Linked DNA regions of Oryzias latipes. Each later gene encodes a partner of the first gene's protein in a complex. Links are inferred from orthologs where the notes say so. Each region holds a gene or a part of one and is shown in the gene's direction. Other genes may lie near its edges.

The links.
Region 2: gtf2e2 (region 1) and gtf2a1 share a complex: the UniProt entries of both Homo sapiens proteins name them as parts of the TBP-based Pol II pre-initiation complex. The link is inferred for Oryzias latipes from reciprocal best matches to the Homo sapiens genes GTF2E2 and GTF2A1.
Region 3: gtf2e2 (region 1) and polr2l share a complex: the UniProt entries of both Homo sapiens proteins name them as parts of the TBP-based Pol II pre-initiation complex. The link is inferred for Oryzias latipes from reciprocal best matches to the Homo sapiens genes GTF2E2 and POLR2L.
Region 4: gtf2e2 (region 1) and gtf2f1 share a complex: the UniProt entries of both Homo sapiens proteins name them as parts of the TBP-based Pol II pre-initiation complex. The link is inferred for Oryzias latipes from reciprocal best matches to the Homo sapiens genes GTF2E2 and GTF2F1.
Region 5: the proteins of gtf2e2 (region 1) and gtf2e1 are in contact, whole or in part, in a crystal structure (PDB 5GPY), measured with the Homo sapiens proteins. The link is inferred for Oryzias latipes from reciprocal best matches to the Homo sapiens genes GTF2E2 and GTF2E1. Residues at the interface, in NP_002086.1 of Homo sapiens: Asp159, Gln160, Arg161, Gly162, Leu163, Gly164, Gly165, Leu167, Leu190, Val192, Asn193, Arg194, Pro195, Ile200, Phe202, Cys208, Gln209, Phe210, Ser211, Val212, Asp213, Glu215, Phe216, Gln217, Leu219, Trp220, Arg221, Val223, Thr224, Val225; in NP_005504.2 of Homo sapiens: Arg16, Lys19, Tyr20, Val21, Arg23, Gly24, Phe25, Tyr26, Ile28, Glu29, Leu32, Arg39, Leu51, Leu52, Lys53, Phe54, Asp55, Gln58, Gly68, Asp69, Lys70, Phe71, Lys73, Thr98, Asn101, Val102, Val103, Lys104, Tyr105, Lys106.
Region 6: gtf2e2 (region 1) and gtf2h5 share a complex: the UniProt entries of both Homo sapiens proteins name them as parts of the TBP-based Pol II pre-initiation complex. The link is inferred for Oryzias latipes from reciprocal best matches to the Homo sapiens genes GTF2E2 and GTF2H5.

The regions. Positions count from the first base shown.
Region 1 is NC_019859.2:11,936,997-11,941,213, forward strand, and holds the start of gtf2e2 (transcription initiation factor IIE subunit beta), read left to right. Parts: upstream 1-1,417; 5' UTR 1,418-1,639; intron 1,640-2,328; 5' UTR 2,329-2,333; coding exon 2,334-2,493; intron 2,494-3,287; exon of another isoform or gene 3,288-3,938; coding exon of another isoform or gene 3,939-4,217. Other genes in the region: smim18 (small integral membrane protein 18), read right to left, coding at 3,939-4,217. UniProt on the Homo sapiens protein: Recruits TFIIH to the initiation complex and stimulates the RNA polymerase II C-terminal domain kinase and DNA-dependent ATPase activities of TFIIH. Both TFIIH and TFIIE are required for promoter clearance by RNA polymerase.
Region 2 is NC_019882.2:4,171,033-4,175,059, reverse strand, and holds the start of gtf2a1 (transcription initiation factor IIA subunit 1), read left to right. Parts: upstream 1-1,227; 5' UTR 1,228-1,436; coding exon 1,437-1,466; exon of another isoform or gene 1,467-1,503; coding exon of another isoform or gene 1,504-1,509; intron 1,510-2,745; coding exon 2,746-2,847; intron 2,848-2,957; coding exon 2,958-3,126; intron 3,127-3,217; coding exon 3,218-3,282; intron 3,283-3,703; coding exon 3,704-3,779; intron 3,780-3,855; coding exon 3,856-3,977; intron 3,978-4,027. UniProt on the Homo sapiens protein: TFIIA is a component of the transcription machinery of RNA polymerase II and plays an important role in transcriptional activation. TFIIA in a complex with TBP mediates transcriptional activity.
Region 3 is NC_019861.2:18,860,753-18,863,663, reverse strand, and holds polr2l (DNA-directed RNA polymerases I, II, and III subunit RPABC5), read left to right. Parts: upstream 1-1,184; 5' UTR 1,185-1,316; intron 1,317-1,757; exon of another isoform or gene 1,758-1,775; 5' UTR 1,776-1,784; coding exon 1,785-1,879; intron 1,880-2,160; coding exon 2,161-2,272; 3' UTR 2,273-2,411; downstream 2,412-2,911. UniProt on the Homo sapiens protein: DNA-dependent RNA polymerase catalyzes the transcription of DNA into RNA using the four ribonucleoside triphosphates as substrates.
Region 4 is NC_019866.2:14,106,534-14,110,480, forward strand, and holds the start of gtf2f1 (general transcription factor IIF subunit 1), read left to right. Parts: upstream 1-1,147; 5' UTR 1,148-1,414; intron 1,415-1,640; 5' UTR 1,641-1,685; coding exon 1,686-1,697; intron 1,698-1,998; coding exon 1,999-2,045; intron 2,046-2,224; coding exon 2,225-2,297; intron 2,298-2,637; coding exon 2,638-2,831; intron 2,832-3,147; coding exon 3,148-3,318; intron 3,319-3,389; coding exon 3,390-3,595; intron 3,596-3,707; coding exon 3,708-3,858; intron 3,859-3,947. UniProt on the Homo sapiens protein: TFIIF is a general transcription initiation factor that binds to RNA polymerase II and helps to recruit it to the initiation complex in collaboration with TFIIB. It promotes transcription elongation.
Region 5 is NC_019879.2:29,665,061-29,667,311, reverse strand, and holds the end of gtf2e1 (general transcription factor IIE subunit 1), read left to right. Parts: intron 1-715; coding exon 716-1,158; 3' UTR 1,159-1,751; downstream 1,752-2,251.
Region 6 is NC_019882.2:9,073,468-9,076,041, forward strand, and holds gtf2h5 (general transcription factor IIH subunit 5), read left to right. Parts: upstream 1-1,216; 5' UTR 1,217-1,357; intron 1,358-1,570; 5' UTR 1,571-1,633; coding exon 1,634-1,668; intron 1,669-1,768; coding exon 1,769-1,949; 3' UTR 1,950-2,074; downstream 2,075-2,574. Other genes in the region: protein SERAC1, read left to right, coding at 39-175. UniProt on the Homo sapiens protein: Component of the general transcription and DNA repair factor IIH (TFIIH) core complex, which is involved in general and transcription-coupled nucleotide excision repair (NER) of damaged DNA and, when complexed to CAK, in RNA transcription by RNA polymerase II.

The DNA.
Region 1 (4,217 bases):
AATGAGAGAATAAGACACTGAAGCCAAATTCCTTGTATATGCCCTCATTATTCGCTAATAAAATTGATTACTAGTCAGAGAAAAAAAAGGGAAAGTAAAATTATTTTTAGTATTATTTCTGTTTACAGTTTGGGGTTTGTTACCTCCAAACTGTCACTGTGTCAGAGTTACACTGCATTACATGACTTTATTACTTATAAAGTAATAATAAAGGGAAAGTAAAATTATTTTTAGTATTATTTCTGTTTACAGTTTGGGGTTTGTTACCTCCAAACTGTCACTGTGTCAGAGTTACACTGCGTTACATAACTTTATTACTTATAAAGTTATGACTCGTAATCAATTATTACTTATAGCGTTCTTTGTAAGACCTACAGAAGTAGAGGAAGTGACAAGGTACTGTCAAGCATTTCACTCTAAGACAAATGGCGATAAGCTTTAATAATCATTAAGTGAAAGTACAGGAAGCAGAATCACAGCTTTTTGTTGTTAAAATAAAACTATGAGTCATCTACCTAAATGGATAACAGAGTGACAGGAGAACCGTAGGGGTCTGTTTACCTCAGGAAAAGTGGAGCTGTCTATTAAATAATGATTCCAATCACCACACTTTGTCAAAAATAACTGATCAGATACATTTTTTTCTTCAAGAAAAAAAAAAAAAAAAAGATAAACACATTTGTTCAAGAAATCAAAAGTTAAATTATTGTTTCTAAGCTAAAAGTGATGAACCATGAGTTTATAAAGATATTTTTAGCAGAGTTTTTTTGTTCATGTGTTCTCGTCTCATTACTAAGTATGTAATGACTTTAATGTCATAGTAATGCTTTACACCCCTTTAGAACTGCAAAAGGTATGCTATCGTAATGTATTTTGTAACTACGTGCTGTAGGCTCCTCTACAGTAAAAAGAAAAAAAAAGGCTTTAAATTAAAAATATTATTCAAAAATAAATCCTGGAACTTTATTAACATTTCACTTAAGTGTTTCATCTTTTAACAAGAAATGAGATTAAACTTTATTGGTCAAAGCACAAAATTTGGCAAAGAAAACTTGTAAAGATTATGTTTATAATCGAAATGGCAATCACACCACAATGCAAAACAGAACATATTACAGTCAGGTGTTGGAAATAATACTTTTAATGTCTTATTACAAACTGTTGGTTATAATAATATCCAATAATTTTCAGTTTAAAAACTGAAAATGTTGGGGGAGAAACATTTGCTGAAACTATTTAATTGTTTTTAAACGTTCCGGCAAGAATTAAAAACTGTGAAACAGAACACTCATTATTTTAGCTATAGTTTCAGAATCCCTAACCAAAATAGCTCTCTTGCCTGAAATAAGTTGACTGTCCTCCAGTCCAGTAGGTGGCGATGTTGAGCTACACAGCTGCGGGTTTTTGCTTGCACGCGGAAGACGTCACCCAAGGAATAACATACGATAACGATAACCGACAACTCGAACACTAAACGAAACAGTTACATGATGGATACAAAAATAATACTTTTTTATTAGAAAGTAAGCTTGAGTTTACTTAAGCTTAAAATTGTCTTTCTATTTCACTTTTTAGTTTATAAATTAGTCTATCGGGACTTATTCGCCACTTTCTGGAAAGAAGAACTCAACAGTAGCAGGTAACGTTGACATGCTAACACTAGGATTAGCATCACATTAGGTGTTAGACAATGCGGGAACATTAATTAGCGGTTATGTGGGTCATGCTGTCACGGGATTCGGTTCTTTGGGGAAACTGGACTCTAAAGGTTCATCTCGATGACTTTTAGCTGCTTATATGAAGTTTTTTTTTTCCCGATAAACTGAAGAAGAAGCTAATCGGACAAACAGCGAACTTCTGTTATATATATGTTTAAATATGTTTTGAGTTGAGTTTTTAGTCCACTGTTTCTGTATTAAGTGTATTTCTTTGGTCACTGTTAATGTAGTAATTCCATGTCTTTGGCCCATATTGTCAGTAGAAGAACCGAACACAATTATTTTTGGCACAAATGGAACACCGTAGTTTTGAAGAACAGAATCCTGTCGTGTCAAGACAATGTTTTAACATCAAATCTAGTTACTAATAATAATCCTTATGCTCTACTTAATATTTGAAGAAAAAATAGTAAAACAGCTGCATCACTGATTAGATTGAGAAAAGAACCAGGTAAACATACCAGGTATAATAGATATGCATGGAGATGATGCACCTCACTGTTTCAGTATTATATTTATTTCATAAATTATATTTAATTTAAACGTTTGAAGCTTAGTAAAACTGCATTTTATCCAGCCTTTTCTGTGTTTACATGCTTTTGTCCACCAGCCTGGATGGATCCAGCTCTGCTTCGCGAGAGGGAGCTGTTTAAGAAAAGAGCTCTCTCCACGCCGGCTGTTGAGAAGAGACCAGCTGCATCAGACTCTGGATCCCACAAGAAGAAGAAGCCCAAGTTAGACAAGGAAGGCTCCTCTGGCTCCAAACACAGCACTGGTAGGTCATGCTTTATATCTGGTTACTGAGCTTCTCCTGGACGTGCCACAAGCTGCTCCGCTCCATTCTGATAAACCCACTTGCAGACAAATGGATCCATGTACGTCTTTGTTTTCCTCGCCTGGGCTGCCATCTGGCGTAAACCTTAAGTTTGCTCACCAATGTTGGGTTGGGTGTGTGAGAGGCTGTAAGCTTATGAGAGAGGATATGCAGAGAGCTCAGTAATGGATGACTGGAAGGGGGGGTAGGGTTGCTCCTTACAGCGCCGCTGGTCCCACTCGCAACTCAGGTGAAATTCCAATGAACTACTGCCACCCTGCAGAAACTATGTCCTAGAAAAACGACCCAGATTTTTTTAATTTTTAGCTAAAAATGACCTTCTCCTAAGTAAAAGACCAATGGAAACGCTTTCACAATAGATCAAAATATGATCGGAGGGGGTCTTTGAGTGAAACTGGCAGATTATTTTTAAGGATTATGTTTTCTTTCTTTTGTTTGGTTTAAATGTTGTTGTTTTTTAATGGATGGATGATGTAACACCTAGGCAATCAAAACTCATTCATCTGTCACTCATAGGTTATTCTGAGTCAAATATTTGAATAATTACGAAAAGCAAAGTGGTCAAAATTCTGCTGTCATTGCTTTTTTTTAAAGGTGTGCACAGATCAAAAAATGACTTCTAACATTTTTATAGTAAATATAAATAAAGCCTAAAAGAATTCTTTGGATGAAAGGACTGATTCATAAGAATCATGAAATATAGAGAAAGAAAATTCAAACTCTTTAACCAAACTTTTTGTTAGATCTCATTTTTATTGATTTTCTTTAGTCTTTTTATGTTTGTCTTCATGAAAATGCCAACATACCACATTGACCAACAGCCGTCCAACGCTAGATTTTATCACTTCATTTAGTTGCTTTTGGAAAATAAACGTCTTCATCTGTTAAAAAAGTTTCAGAAATGTCAGATTTTCCACCTGGTAACATGAGAGTGGCAGCTGATTTCTATACATCCACTACAAACAATTACAACTTTCGGCTCGCCTTAACATCCATTTAAATGAATCATGTTTATTTATAACAATTCTTTTTTATCATACCACAATGTTTTTAACCCAAAAGAAAAGATTTCCATCAACTTTTATCGGGTTTGTGGGAAGCCAAACGAAAACCTTTATTGTGTCTACAAATTCACGACTGTGTGTTTACCATAGAAGAACGGCAAAAAAACACAAAACTAAACAAAGATGACATGAGTCTTTAAAGCCCTAACTCGGCAAACGTTTCTGTGTACAGAATACTCTGGAACATTGATTCATTTTTTTCTTTGCCTCTGAATTGGATGCATGCAAATAGACAGTCTATGGTATCAGGGGTGCTTGTTTTGGCAATAAATTGGGCATCCCAACCCCAAACTCTTCCATTTTCCTTTGTCTGTGCTGCTGCTATACCACCTCCGTGTGGCTCTCCAGCTCCTTGCATGTTCTCGTCATGAGATTGCTGCAGCTTCCCGACCTTTCTTGCTGCAACTGGTGGCGCGTTTTCCCTTTGGCGCAGCAGCCGCAGTCCAGTAACTCGTAGAGAACGGCCAGAGCGGCCAGGGACAGAACGGTGAGGATGAAGAGCAGGAGGATGACGAAGCAGGCGACGTTCCAACCGTCGTGGAAGGGGTAGACTTCCTGTACCTGCAGGGAAACGTGGGACATGGGGATGGCCTCGGGGAG
Region 2 (4,027 bases), on another chromosome or scaffold:
GTCTTATCAGTCTGAGTGGTGCCATTTTGGAGCCGTGTGGCGGTGGAAGCCCATTCATAATTGAAGTAGAGACCGGCTTAATCTTGAGCCAGTGGCTCCCTGTGCAGCACGCTCCCATCACAACACAACTGGAGCTTGCAGCTCCTCTGTTGCTATGCAACTACAGCAAAGAAGGGGGAGTAGGGAGTGGGGGGGGGGGGGGGGGTAAAGTGTGCATTCTCCAGATCTTTAGAGGGCATCATGCTTCTCTAATGTTACACCGGAGTGAAGCTCAAAGACAGCAATGCCCTAGCCTGCATATATGATCACATCCCAAACATTCATAGCATGGATCACTCGCTTGCTTTTTGATCACGTTGAACTTTGCTTCCCCTGTAATTATAGAAGCATGAGAGGGTGATCTGCAGGGTCAGATCACCCTCTCTCTCTTTTTTTTACATCTTCTTTAGATAATTTCAGTAAACACAGTTTTCAGAAAACACTGAATTGTTTGTGGATTGATGCAAACAGTCTTCCCTAGTCTATATCATCTATATCCACAGAGTGGCCAGGGAAGCAAGTTTCCATGGAGACTGAAGTGGAGTTAACAATGTCTACACGAAATTATTGCAAAGCTTTTTTTTAAGGATTTTCCCTTTGGTTGTGTATTTTTGGATCAAGTGAATATGATCTTAAATACTTCTTCAAATGTGCACAGATCTTCTTAATTAAAGATCACATATAGCACGCTGCATGTGAAAAATATGCCCGTCTCAAAGCTCCAGTGAAACACAGGTTATTTTCATGTGATGTTGTCTTATCGCCCTCTTGTGGCTGTAGAACGATACTACAAGGAACATAGAAATAAATCGGGCTTTTGGATTCAGATTTGAACCTTTTCGTTATAAAATAAAAGTAATGAATACAACACAGAATTTACTATACAGGAAAAATCTCGATTTAGCTGAAAAAGTTAAATCAATTAAAACTTGTAACCCTCTATTTGTAAACATTCTCAACACAATACAAACTCACAAACAAAAACAATGTAATTGTAATCATGGTTAACAATTGGATAATTTGTCCAACAAATCTAAAAAGCTAAGTATCCAATCGCATTGTGAAATTTACAATTTAAACTACATTTCCCAGCACGACGTCAGTGATTAGTCATCGTTTTTTGTGGCAAATCTCGCGCTATGTGCCTTTTGACCCTGCCCTATGTCTCGCGCACTCGCAGCTCCATCGCTCAGTATATAAAGCAGGACAACGACGAAAGGAGGACGGCTGGGGAGTCGCAGCCCGGGATTGTAAATAAGACCGTTAAAACTGTGTTTTATTTACAAAAGTAATGCCGGCTGTTTTAAAGTACCTTTCCCAGTTGTTTTAAGTCTTTTTTCTTAATTTTTGGCACTGTTTCTCGCCTATTTCCGTGTGGTTTTTACACTACGCGTATAATGGCGAGCTCGGCAAACTCGAACCCAGTGGTAAGGATCAATCTCTCAGGACTGTCAACGGGGGAAAATGGGGGTAAAGTTGATGGAAAAACGTGTCAACGATCTGTTTTTTTTTTTAATTTATTTTTTTTATTCATTACAGTAAAAATGAGTTTTACCAACACCGTTATGTCCATTCAAAGGAATACTCACGGTCATTTTTTTTATACCAGTTTTCGAAACTCAATGAAAAAAGAGCTTATAGAACTGATTACTTTTGTAGGACCCGAATCTCTTTAAATATTTAAATTAAATGTGATCAAAAATAAATTTTAAAGTTAAAAGTTGCCTGTTTATACGGTATTAGTTGTTAACGTAAGTGCTTCCGAAAACCTTCTGGACATTTTTTTAAAGCTAAATTGAGTTGAAATCCGCATTGAATGCGTTAGCTAACTAGTTAAGTTAGGGGTGCTCATTTTTGTTTACACGGGGGAAAATGTCATACTTATTGTCGCATAACTGTTGGAGGGGAGGGAAACTGATGTACGCAAAGCACATATGCACCATCCACTGCGACTGAATTTAGCTAAAAAAATTTTATTAAAAGCTTGGCGTCTTGAACGCTCTGTCAACTGCTTCTTCTTCATTGTCCTCCATTCCACGACCAGAGGGCAGGAGAGCCGTCCCAAATCACCCTCAACGCAACAAATGTCCCGCTCCAGTCAAAAATGTTTAGTCAAAACGGATCCTTTCATGAGATAAACCACCGAAACCGTCATCTTCAGTCCGCCATATCTTGCTAGTCGAGGAGGGAAAAGAGGCGCGCGCGCGCTTGCCGCTCTGTAAAATGGCTTCCTCGTCTCCTCTCTCGGTTCTGGCCCTCCTCCTTTCTGCTGCCTGGTTTTATACCGCCATATTGGCCGTCTAATATAGACTGCCCGGGATGGGACGGTGCTACACGACGCTACGTCACCGGTTCTTCACATAAACAGCAGACTGCGCTTTAAATAGTGCCGGAGCTGACGGGGAGGAGAGCAGAGAGACGGACATTCGGTGTCCCGCTTCTCGTTCTGCGTAGAAGCCAGAATGTTGTCCGTGACAGTTCCCCGCGCGTGCAGCTCTGTCTCGAGGGACGCGTTTAGTCCTGCTGACAAATGGATCAGTGCAGATTATTATATATGGGTTTGGATAATCTATCCATATACACAAGATGTGACCGTTTAAACTTAACACCTCTTTTATGAGTGTTTTCCTACATTTATTGTAAACATTTATATATGTTGAAACCACCACCAATAAATTGTGTATTTGCTCTGTTTTGTCATCATAGCCTAAATTATACAAGTCTGTTATTGAGGATGTGATCAATGAGGTGCGGGAGCTGTTCCTGGATGAAGGGGTGGACGAGCAAGTTCTTCTGGAGCTGAAAACGGTAATCCGTCTCATTTTACTGAGAGAAGGTTATAACCCCCCCCCCTCACACACACACACACACATGCAGCTCCGTGTTTGGTCAGATTCATCTGGAGTCTTGTCTTTCAGCTGTGGGAGAACAAGCTGCTGCAGTCAAAGGCGGTGGAGGGCTTCCACACCGAGGAGCAGGCGGCCCTGCAGACCGCTCAGCAGCAGCACCCGCACTCCCAACAGGCCCAGCAGGTGGCCCAGGCCGCGCCGGCCCAGCAGGTTATCCAGATTCCCTCGCAGCAACAAGGCGAGTCCGCACGTTGACATACAAACGTCGCCTGGACGTGTGTTGTTTTTTTTTTTTTTCAACCTGAAATAATGTGTTTTATTCTCAACAGCTCCCCAGCAGCAGGTCATAGTTCAGGACTCTAAAATGATACAGCACATGAATTCAACGGGAATGGTGAGTAGCATCTTACAAGCTGAAAACTGCACCGCCACACTTGAGAACCAAAAATTCTCCCAAACGTCCCGTTTTGTCATCGCACAAATCCACCCGGGGAATATCTGGGATAGTATCAAGGAAGCGACGGTTAGGAAAACTAGCCGGGCTGTGGGTTTTGGGAGAGGACTTTTTTTCTCAACAAGGACCTGGAGAACAAAACCGAGAAAGGGAAAAGCTTTCTTGTGGGGAGGCCATCTGTCTTTTTGAGCTTGAAACCTAGCCGCCGCTATAGCTTTTCCTTAAGTGATGGACCATGTTTGAAACCTTTAAGGCTTAAATGAAAAGAAAAAAGAAGATTTTTTCTTTTTTTATCACCTAGAAAATCCACCTTTTTGTGCTCTGGTATAATTGGAGCGGCTTTCTGTGTTTCCTCCTGCAGACCGCAGCAGCCACTGCAGCAACCCTTGCTTTGCCCACAGGGGTCACCCCCTACCAACAGCTCATCACAAGCCAAGGTAAAGCTCTCACCGTTCCTTTGGACTTTAGCGTGGTTGGATCTCAAAACGTTTTTTTGTTTTCCTGTTGATGCAGGTCAGCTCCTGCAGGTGGTCCGGGCTCCCAACGGGACTCAGTACATCATCCAGCCTCAGCAGCAGATCGTCCTGCAGAATCAGATGCAGCCTGGCGGCGTGCAGGCCCCCATTATACAGCAGGTACAGTCCATGTGTGAGGTCATCCTTTTGAGCATGAAACCAGTCTGGGA
Region 3 (2,911 bases), on another chromosome or scaffold:
CAGCCTCAATAAAAGAAGTGAACCAGTCTGAATTATTTTTTTAAATGCACAAGAATTATCAAAGCAATTATATTAGTAGAAATGTGAGTTTCAGTTAAATTTATGATCTTGTAAGTTCTACCCTGTGACAGACTGGCGACCTGTCCACAAGTGGTCGAGATAGGCTCCGGCAGCCCCGTGACCCCGAAAGGGAAAAACGGTTAAGAAAATGAATGAATGAATGAATCTTGTAAGTTCAAGAGAGTTTTAACATGGACTGCCAACAAATATAAAAAAGGAATTGGGTACCGGTACTTTTGAATACTGGTATGTTGAGAAATCTAGATGAGACTAAGGCTTAGATCAGATTTACATTTGATTTATGTTCACAACTTTTTTTTTCTGCAAATGAAAATAAGGAAAGACAGTTAAAGATTAGTTAATAAACAGCAACAGTTTCACAGAAAGTATTGGCTAATAAGCTATCCAAATGAAAATATTTAAACTTGAAAATGAAAGCTGTAGATCTACAGTCAAGATTAGAAAAAGAGGATTTTTTTGGGATTTGCATTTTATGCCAATTCCCAAATAAGGATTTTTTATTTTATTTTACTCACATGACTGTGGCAACATTAGAATGTTTTCTAAATTATTGCAGAGAAATCCTCAAATAACAAAAAGTAATATTTGCATATAGACAAATGTTGGTGAATACATATACCATATAAATGTAGTTGTTTCCTTATCATAGAACATGAATGTGTAGGTGATTTAAATTAAAGCATTTAATCATTGGACACATATGTCGTCTGGGATTAACTGGTATTATTACAGACCCACCCAGAGAGATGTGATTTTATTTTGGTTTGAGGAACAGATTTCTCAATATTTGAGGGCCGATGCAGGTTGTATTTAGACAATGTGCTACCTTCTTTAAAAAAAAAAAAATATATATATATATATATATATATATATATATATATATATATATATATATATATATATATATATATATATATAGTAAAAATGCAAATCGTACGCGTCAGTTTTTGTAACAAATACTTTTACGCGATAAAATAATTTTTTTGTTAAATCCTAAAGTTGTGTTTTACATACAGAAAATGAACACACAGCAGTTAAACTCAACAGCATTGTTTACCTAAATTTAGTGGTTTATTTAAATTAGTTTTATTTTGTAGGATCACATCCGGAAGCTCTGTATTACACCGGAAATGGTTATTTGAGCTGTGATGTTTATATCGTCAACGGTTAAACTTTGTCTCTACTATTATTACAAATAACGCTGTTTAAGTGTTGGACAAACTTGACCAATAAAGGTGAGTTAACAACTTCCTTTTTTAACGTAATGTTACTAATATTTTTATTTCATTTGTACCCGAGTTTGGGAAGCATGTGAACGACGGCGTGCTGCTAGGCTAGCTGCATGTACGCGGCTAGCGTTGGCCTTTCTTTTTGTTTTTTAAATCTCAGTAATTTAAACACAAGTTACTTAATTATATTATATCGTTTACAGAAATTGTAGCGCAAGATATTTGCGTTCATTTTAGTTACGACGTTCCTAAACAACGTGTTGGTACCTTCCTTTAGAAGTATTTGCTAGCATCATAAGCGGAATTATGTTGTAGGAACATGTGTAACATAATTACCCTTTCTCAGATATGACCATATTCATATTGGCATGTTTTTGTTTATTTAATTTTTTTTTATTATTGATTTGATTGTTGATTATATTATTTATTGTGGATTGAATATCTTAGTTTGGCTCCTTCTTCAAGCATCCAGAAATGATTATCCCGGTGAGGTGTTTCACTTGTGGGAAGATCGTGGGGAACAAATGGGAAGCCTACCTTGGTCTTCTTCAGGCCGAATACACTGAAGGGTGAGACAGATGCGCTTCATTTTCATTTTACCTTCATGTTTCGTTCGTTCAACAATGTGTCACCGTAATGCTATATGGTCAAGTTTTCTGAAACTAAATAAAGGCCTTCATTCAACCTCTACTCCTCCTGTTTCACTGTCAGTCAAGATGTTAGTTTGAATTCAGACCATTTGAGGATACAACATTTAAAACTAACTATAGAAATGTTTTTTTTTTTTTTTTCTGTAATTATGCAAGCAATATCTGGCACTAAAATTACTTTTCCATCTTCCCTTTTCTAGTGATGCTCTTGATGCCCTGGGCCTGAAGAGGTACTGCTGTCGGAGGATGCTGCTTTCCCATGTGGATCTTATTGAGAAATTGTTAAATTATGCACCGCTGGAAAAATTTTAGCTGGAAGAACATGCTTTGAACATGGCCTGTGCATATATTCAGTGTTTAAGAAATGTCAACAATAATGACTTGGTGTATTGTGCACATATGTGGCAATGAAAATTTTATTTAAATAAAGTTTTTTCTTTAAAGTATTCGATTCACTGAGTTGAGATGCCATCTAATTTTTGAGGCGTTGAGTTAAATCGCTCAACCTTTCACTTTATGTACTTATGAAAACATGCAAACAAATAATGTTATACTATTCAACAGCAGAGCACATAAGACGAGAATACTTTGGGATTTTTTTTAATTGTAGATTTTCTACCAAAAGAAATGTGAAATTACAATGATTACAGAAAGAATTGTTATGGTGCATGCAAACAAAGTCTTATTTTACAAGAAAAAATCTACAGCCAATTTTTGTTAAAACAAGTCCTATTATATAAAGGAAGAACAAAACCGTGTTCTCAGATTGAACAAACAATCCTTGATTCTTTTATATACAACTCGACGCAACAATGCTCCTCTGCCTCCAATCTGGGGAAGCAAGAACAAAACATCGTCATGGCGGTTGGAACTTTAACTCTTGAAGAGTTATAGTGAATGTGCAGAAGGTTTTCAGCAAATTACAATGCCACTTTGTTACCAACAATTAAA
Region 4 (3,947 bases), on another chromosome or scaffold:
CTGTCTATAACAGATAAACAGCAGTTTCTATACTGACGTAAACCGGAAAATGCAGAACGCACTAAATATGTGTTAGCAAAACAATTAAACAATACAATAACGTGAGTTAAACATTTATCAGCCATCACCGTTGTCGTTATTTAATCTTCTCTTCGCCGTTTTGGAAGGTCCTGTCTGACCTCATCCAGGAAACTTGGGTATCAGAATTATTTTAGAGTTTTCCATTGGAAATTACAACAAACGGGGTCGTTTATGTGCAAACTTCACCTGTCTTTCTAACTTTACCGAACTTCGGATCAATTAGTATTTTAAATCGCGAATGCACAGAAATACTGGATAATGTAAAAAATATGGCCCCATCATCCTCCAAACTTACCTTGTGATTGATGCTGAAGTTGTTCATCTTTTTTCAGCTCCTGATGGATAAAGTCTCTTTGGCATGAAGTGCTCTTGTTGTCGCTTTGATCAGCGTGACAAAATGAGCTATTTTTTTTTCTTTTCTCAACTTTATTGAAACAAAATGCGCTCGTAAATGCACACTGTGCCAGGCTCAGATGCAGTGATGTTGGCCAATCGTTGCTGAGAGTGGCGTAACGTCATTATTTGGGTTGCCAGATTGGTTCAGGTTTGTTGACAAGGGGGATCATTAAAGTGCAGCCAACTTTCTTTTGCACAACATTCACAGCTATGAAATAGGTTGCCAGATTTGGGTCTTTTTTTTATTTTATTTTTTCGCCACTTCGGGGCCCTGGTGATGTGGGGGCCCTACGCGGCTGCGTAATTCGCGTATAGGGAGGGCCGGCCATGATCACAGATTAATTGTCAAATTGTAAAAATTGTGAATGGCATTTACACTTTCCTTTCCTTACATTCAGGTGCACTCAAGCATAATCGGCTCTTAACACTGTGTTCACAGCCTAATCATTATTTTTTAAAGGAAACAATTAATTTAATTACTTTTTTAAATAATGTTTTACTTTTTTAATAAAGTTTTTATAAATTTTAAACTACATTTCAGGGAAACAAATTTAATTTATATGTTTTTCTTTGTTGGTAAGTCTGTTTTTACTTATTAGTTTGATTTTTTTTTCTTTCATTCCAGTTACTGTCTGCATTTTCAATAGGAACTATTTGTGACGTGCCAAGGTTTCCTGTCGACCGTAAAAAGTGACGGAACGATTACGCTGCAACAACGCGCACCTCACCGGTACACCAGTAGTAGTGTTTTACTCTCGGAGATGCGGGGCTTTTTCTTTTAAAAAAAACAACAACACTATTTTTGTATTTCATTTTCCTTTTATGCATCTTCACTCGGTCTGAAGTTGGACTAAAACGACCATATGAGCTCGTTTATCGTGCTGGAGATCTAATGATCTAATCAGAGCTAACCATTGAAATCTCTACGACCGGGTTGGTGAGACTCAGCATTCATTGTTATTTTCTTTCACAATAAAACCAGTTTTCGGTGATTGTTTGCTTTCGAACATTTGTTTTTTTCTAACCCGTCTATAAAACTAGTTTTGTAATAAACGTAATCATATTTTTACACATTATGAAAATGGCCGACATGATCATGTTGCACTAAACATTAGTGAAATACCTGCTAAAATGTCCTTTCTTTTTCTGTAAACCCTTAATAGCTCCAGTGAAGTGTTGGCAAATCCAGAAGTTGTTGATAAACAATCATGACATCTCTGGTAAGTTCTGACTTTTTTTTAATGATTATTTTTATTATTATTAACATGTAAAATGTTTTCGTTTCATTTAAGCTATTTTAGCCCGGCAGCTTCCGGTTACAGCAGGAAAGAAAACTTTATTAATCTGCGCTACAGAAGACAATGTTACACGAATTTATCAGTGGAGACTAATTGTAAAGCCTGAGTTGCATGCAGGCAAAAACTCATTCAATCAGAAGGTCGCTGATCTTATAGCAAAACCTTTTTTTAATAGAAATTCCACATTATTTGTTTGTTTGTTTGTTTGTTTACCATCTTCCAGGGGGGCAGCAGTGCTTCGACTACAGAATACACAGTGAGAGTCCCCAAGTGAGTAAATGAAAGCAGTAATGTGTTAGTAATGTTGACCATAACACAGAAATGACACCGTTATCCTTTGAAATAGTAATGTTTTGCATCATTCTGCCCTAAATTTGTCAACGTGTTACTTGACTCCGCCTTGCAAAAACAACTCTTTTTATTTTTTTATTTATTTTCTTGCCCCATAGAAATACAAGCAAGAAGTACAACATCATGGCTTTTAATTCTGGAGACAAAGTCAACTGTTCGGCCTGGACACAGGTGGGCTTCATGTCTTCTTTTTTGCTCCAGTAAAGTAAATCTATATTTTAAATTTGGTTATAATTAAAAACAATAAGATCTCTTAAAACATCCTTAGGAATTCAGAAATTTGTGACAAAATACAAGGGAGTACGGATTAATAAAGCAACTGCGTTTTATGACATATGTGGTACTAATGATGTTTTTTTAAATGTATTTTTTGTATTGAAATGTGGTGCCTCTTGGCCAGGTCTCCCTTGGAAACGAGATTTCTAATCTCGATGGGACTTCCCTTGTTTGATAAAAGTTCTAAAAAAAAAAAAGGTATTAAGTTAAATATCCTGCTTTGTCACTCCCCCAGGCTCGCATGGAACGCGACCTGAGTGCTCGGCGAATATATGGCGAGGAGGAGTTACCAGAGGGAGGGGCAGGGAGCGAGTTTGGCAAAAAGCAGCGCGAGGAAGCGCGGCGGAAGAAGTATGGCATTGTGACCAGAGAGTTCAAGGTGGAGGATCAGCCGTGGATTTTAAAGGTCAACGGAAAAGCAGGAAAAAGGTAAAGCGATAAATGTTTCTATTTTTGAAACTTAAGTACATTTTTTTTTTTTAATTTACCTGCAGGCTTTCTTGAAGTTATGACTTTTTTTTCTTCAAATAAAGAAAATCAATAAACCATATTTATTTAACCGTTGTAGAAAATGAGCAAATACGTCTTCGTACTGAGTAAGATTTGGTGTAATCCTCACCAATTTTTAACAAAATCTGTTGGTGTGTTTTTTATTTTTCCTAAAATGTTTATTGCAGCAAGATTCTCCTATGATTCCAGTTCTACAATCTTCAGTCTGGCTATAATATTTGTCTTTCTGCATCAGGTTCAAAGGTATAAAGAAGGGCGGCGTGACAGAAAATGCATCCTACTACATCTTTACGCAGTGTCCTGATGGAGCCTTCGAGGCTTTCCCCGTTCACGGCTGGTACAACTTCACGCCGGTGGCGAAGCACCGAACTCTGACTGCAGAGGAAGCTGAGGAGGAGTGGGGCAGGTTAGCAGAGCAGCAAGCTGGACTTGGAGAATGCCTTTTGTGTTTTAAAAGTCATTTCCTTCTTTGTCCAGGCGGAACAAGGTGGTGAATCACTTCAGCATCATGCTTCAGAGACGCCTCCGGGAACAGGAGCGGGGCGAGGAGGATGACGATGACGCCGACAAACCCGGAAAGAAGAAAAAGAAAGGGGGCGGGAAGGGTGGAGATTTGCGAATTCATGATCTGGATGAAGACCTGGAGATGAGCAGCGACGACAGCGACAACAGCATGGGAGATGGTAAGGATCCATGCAGCAGGCTCCAGAACTGTCAGGGCGCTCAGCCCCTTCCTCCAAACGTCTGTCAGCTCATTTTCCTCACCTGCAGCTTCCGTCTCTTCTTCGTTTGCAGATGGAGAAAACAAAGCAAAGGCAAAGAAAGACAAAGCCAAAGGGAAAGCAAAGAAAAAGAAACAAAAGAGCAATGAGAAGGATGCCCTGGAAGACAGCGATGATGGAGACTATGAGGGTCTAGAGGTGGATTATATGTCAGATGAAAGCAGGTGGGCTCCTCAGCGTATTTACCACATATACATATTAAAGAAAGAACATGTTTTTATTTGGTCTTTTTAGAAGAACAAGTCTGCATTTT
Region 5 (2,251 bases), on another chromosome or scaffold:
GTTGCCCCAGTGCCGTTTTTCAGGTTCAGGCTGTGAACACATTGTAGAAAAAAAAGCATTTTAAACTGAATAAAGATGTAACTTTTACTATGGAGTCATGAATTCCTCTGGTAAAAACCACAGGAAAGAGTTTTTTTTCTTTTTTATGCCGTTTTTAGCCAACAGTCTTATTGGAGGACATAGTTTCTGCAAAGTCAGTTTTGGCAGATTAACCCCAAAAGGCAATTTTATGCGTCATTTTCTTTATGCATGTCTTCTATCATCAGAAAAATGTCTAAAGAACTCGCTAGAAACATCATTTTCATCACAGTGGTCTTTATTTTAATTTTTATTATTATTATTTATTTTGAGTTATTATTTATTTTGAGCATACAGTTATCTGTATGCTGAGTATAAACCATAATAGCTTTTTTCTTTGTTCGTCTGGATCTAAATCATCATAAATTCTGGAAGGCAGAAATAATTTTCTCACTTTTTTCTCCTGATTTGATTTTTTTTAAATCTTTTGTCCAAAATGTCAGATTTAGTTTCATTTTAAACTTCAAAAAAGAAAAATTTCCTGAATTAGAACATGGAAGAGAAAAGTTCCTTTAGTGCAGCGCAGCCTGGAAGTAGACCGATCATTTCTTTAGTCAAATAAAAACCTGCAAACATTGGCATTGGCTCGGTTTCTGCAGATCCGTTTATGGGATGGATTCACGTTTTGTCCCCTCAGATGGAGCCGCTCTGCCTGGGGCTCAGGACGGAGCTGCAGCTCGCGATCAGACAGACGAAAACGAGGAGGTGATGCGCGCCCTCCTCATCCACGAGAAAAGGGCCGGCGCAGGACCAGGGGTGGGCGGAGCCGGCGCCTCCTCCAGACCTGCCGCGTCCTCCGCCCTCAACGCCAGTGACTCAGAGAGCGACACCAGTGAATCAGATGACGAGTTCCCCGCAGGTCCTCCTCCCATCGCAGCCGCACGGCGCCCAGAGGAGGACGAAGAGGACGAGGACGACTTCGAGGAGGTGGGGGACGAGCCCATGGTGATGGTGGGAGGTCGGCCGTTCTCCTACAGGGAGGTGAGCCAGAGGCCCGAGCTGGTGGAGCAGATGTCTGCGCAGGAGAAGGAGGCTTACATCGAAATGGGACAGAACCTTTTCCAGGACATGTATTTCTGAGCCCGGCTCACACCCAGTGTTCATCTGATGGCGGCGGCTGGAGGACCTGTGCACACGTGCACGTGTTTAAACTTTAGCAGAGGAAAGCTGTCATCTGTTAGGGAGGTGTCCCTCCTGCAGTATTTTATCCATCTGCAGTGTTTGGAAAGATGATGTCCTCAACACAAACATCCTGGTGGCAGATCCACCCAAAGTCTGTCTGCAGCCTTTACAGCTTCCTGTCTCCTTTTTGGGAGGAGGAAGAGGAGTTGGATTGGCTGCTGAAGGACTTCTTCAGAGTTGAGACTCCTTCAGCAGCGATGCCGCTCAAAAGACAGGATTAAAAAAAAAAGTCTAAATTAGTTCCACACAGAGTTTTATAGCAGTGATTTACAGTTAGATGCTGAGAATAAAAGTCAGTGTGGGTTCAGTATTAAGTGAAAACATGTTCAGAGTTACATCCTTTTTTTCCATTGCATTTTGTCTTCATGCTGCGTTCTTAAATTTCCTGCTAAAATGCCAAACTTGCAGTTTGTGGGAATCAAAGCAGTGGATGGCAGCGGCTAATTTCCCTTTAATACGAGTTTTTTGTCAATAAAACTTTTGTTCTGAAGCTTTGATTCATTTTTTTTCTCTGTTGCTCTGTTAAACCTGAGGAGTCCCCAAAGATGATTTTTCTACAGTTTTTGCTGTAAGAAAAACTACAAAAACGATAAAAAACCAGAACAGCCAATCAGAATTTTTCCTGAACATCTTGGGGTTTTTTTGACAAAAAGGAAAAATGTGCAGCTCAACATTTCTGCTGAAACCACACATGGAAAGCTTGTGAACAACACAAATGTTTGTTTTTTTGTGTGTGTGAATCTTTTCCCTCTGGTTCTGCTATGAATGGAAACGGTTTTCTTCCCTTAACCCTTGTGCTATCTTAGATGACCCCCCCCTTCCATTGAGGTGTTCTCCCTACCACGACAAAGGTGGATAAAGGTGGAAAGATTTCATGTAATCCATGGACACCAGTGAAGATCACAAATCATTGAAGAAAAAAGGTTCAGAGCACTGTCTAGTGGGTCTAGATGACCCAACTCCCATCGTTAAAGAGCCTAGGATAGCACAA
Region 6 (2,574 bases), on another chromosome or scaffold:
ACTGTAGATGGAGATATGAAAGCCTGGTTTCGTTTCAGACCTCGGCATCGGAGAACTCGTCGAGGTAAACGTGGATCACCTCAACATCTGCAAGCCAGAGAAGAAGGATTCGTTTCTGTACAAACGCAGCCTCCAGTTCATCCAGGAGGCCTTGCAGAGTTTTAGCAGCCAGTGACTCTTTATCCGCACAAAGACAATGATGCAGACTACTGCATACTTGAACTGTGGAGAGAAAAAATATGCACATGCCCCCCTTCCGGGATGTCTTTTGTTAAACATGAACAAATAATGTGAAGTGTGAGGGATCACTCAATATTTAGACTAACTTAAATGAAAACTTTCAGCTCTGATAACGAGACTTATTTTTAACTCACTCCTCATGAATAACTTAATTGTAAATCGGATCACTTTTGCAAATAATATTTTTACAGTTTTTTGTCATGTTTAGAGTTGGAAACAGATTGTTAATATTTTAATTATTATTCTGAGATGTAATACTTACGTAAATGATCTGTAATATTCTGAAAAGAATTTCTTCCCCGCATTTATTTTTATATTTGAGAGTTTTATCCCCCAAAAAGCACAATGTCAGTCATAATTGGTGCCAAAATGTATTTCTTTTCCTAAGCCTTACCATAGACTCCTCCTTGTCTATTTAAAAAAACATTTATTTTTTTTAAGTAATGATGTGATTGAATTTTGCCGTAGCACAATTGCCACTAAAAATTCCCATCGCTGTCAATAAATTACTGAAAAATCTCAGTTTCATTTGTGTTTTTGCTAAATATTAAATTAGGGTTTTTACACTGGAAATATTGCTTTTTATTTTTTACAGCCTACAATGCTGTTTTTTGGGCAATATAAGTTAAGTTTTAGCCAAGATTTTGCAAAATAACATTTTGATAGCTTCAGTTTAATTTCCTTTAAAGTTTTTTGCGGAGCAACTTGGTTAGGAATCAAAAACTAAAAAGGAAGCTCTCTATTCTGGTATACGTGATCGTTAGCTTTGATTTTAAACCAAAAAGATTTTTTAAAGAACTTCTAAATCCTGGGAAATGTTTTGGTAATCTTATTTATTTATTATGTTTGTTTCCATGTCAATGAAAGTAACTTCTGCAAGAGTACAAAATCCAAATAAAAAATAAAATAACACTCCACGATTGAAGCTAGCAGCAGTGCGCATGCGTTGCATTGTTGTTGTCGAAGCACAGAAAATTGTCCCTTGACCCGCACCATACAGGGACATGTAGCATCGTGTTAGGAGCCTAGAATTTGTGCTAATATTCTGTCATACATTTACCTTTTATAAAAAGGAATTCTCTTACTTCCACTAACATCTTTCCCGGAACACAGACAGGTTTGTTATTTTAGTGTTGTTGTTTTTTAGCTTTGGTGTATTTTAAAGCATTTTATAATTGTTTTTATCTGAGTCTTGTTTACCTGTGATGATTAGCTTTAAAAAAAAGCGCGTCACAATGAGACTTTTTAACCTTTAAAATCTGTATAGACTTCAAAAACAAACGTTCTATTTTGACAGAGAATTCTTGTTTTACTTGTTTTTATGCGTCAGGTTAAAAAATCCTCGCGTTAAGTTAACATCTCCGCTAAACAAAGGGACCGTTTCTTCGTGAACATGGTGAACGTTCACAAAGGCGTTCTCGTTGAATGGTAAGTAAAGTTTTAACAAACATTATTTTTTTAACAAGTTCTGTAAATTAACATTTTGAGAACTCAATTGTGTCTGATGGGATGTGTTTTATTGAATTAGTGACCCCGCCATGAAACAGTTCCTCCTTTACCTGGATGAGACCATGGCTTTAGGAAGGAAGTTCATCCTGAAGGACCTCGATGACACCCACGTTTTCATCCTGGCAGAGGTGGTCCAAACCCTGCAGGAAAGAGTCGGAGACTTGATGGACCAGAATTCCTTTCCCATCACGCAGAAATAACCTTTGACCTTTCCTAAGGATAATCTTTTTGTTTTGTTTTTTTGAGCTATGGAATGACTGGATTTGTTTCTGACATGCTTTAAAAAAGATCAATAAATTGGATTATGGGTTACATATAACTATCATTACTTGTAGTGATGTAGTTTGTAATTATACCTGCATCCATATTTTTATGGGTATTGGGGTGAGAAAATTTCCAGAAATTCTTTAAAAATGTAAAATATATCTAGCTGTGGTGGTCACGATGCATATTTAAACCCTAGGAAAACTGTACTAGGACTTATTTAAGTTAGTATCCCTCTGCCAGGTATACAATTTTTAAATATTTTAATATTCAGTTTTTAAGACATTTTCATAGACACTTTGCTTTATTTACAAGTCTCCTTACAGCCTCATGTACAAGCAGCACATTTTACAAACACCTGAAGAAAAATCATCTTAAACATAAGTGACATTCCCTTTGAAGAAAAAAAACACAAAATATACACATTTTACAAATTCATAACTCATTTATGAGGAAAAATAAAATGGAAATGCAAGGCACCGTTTAGAATAAAACATGTATTTGTACAGATCTGTTTTTTTTTTTAGATAATTGTAAAATAAACTTATCTGAATGTGCAGT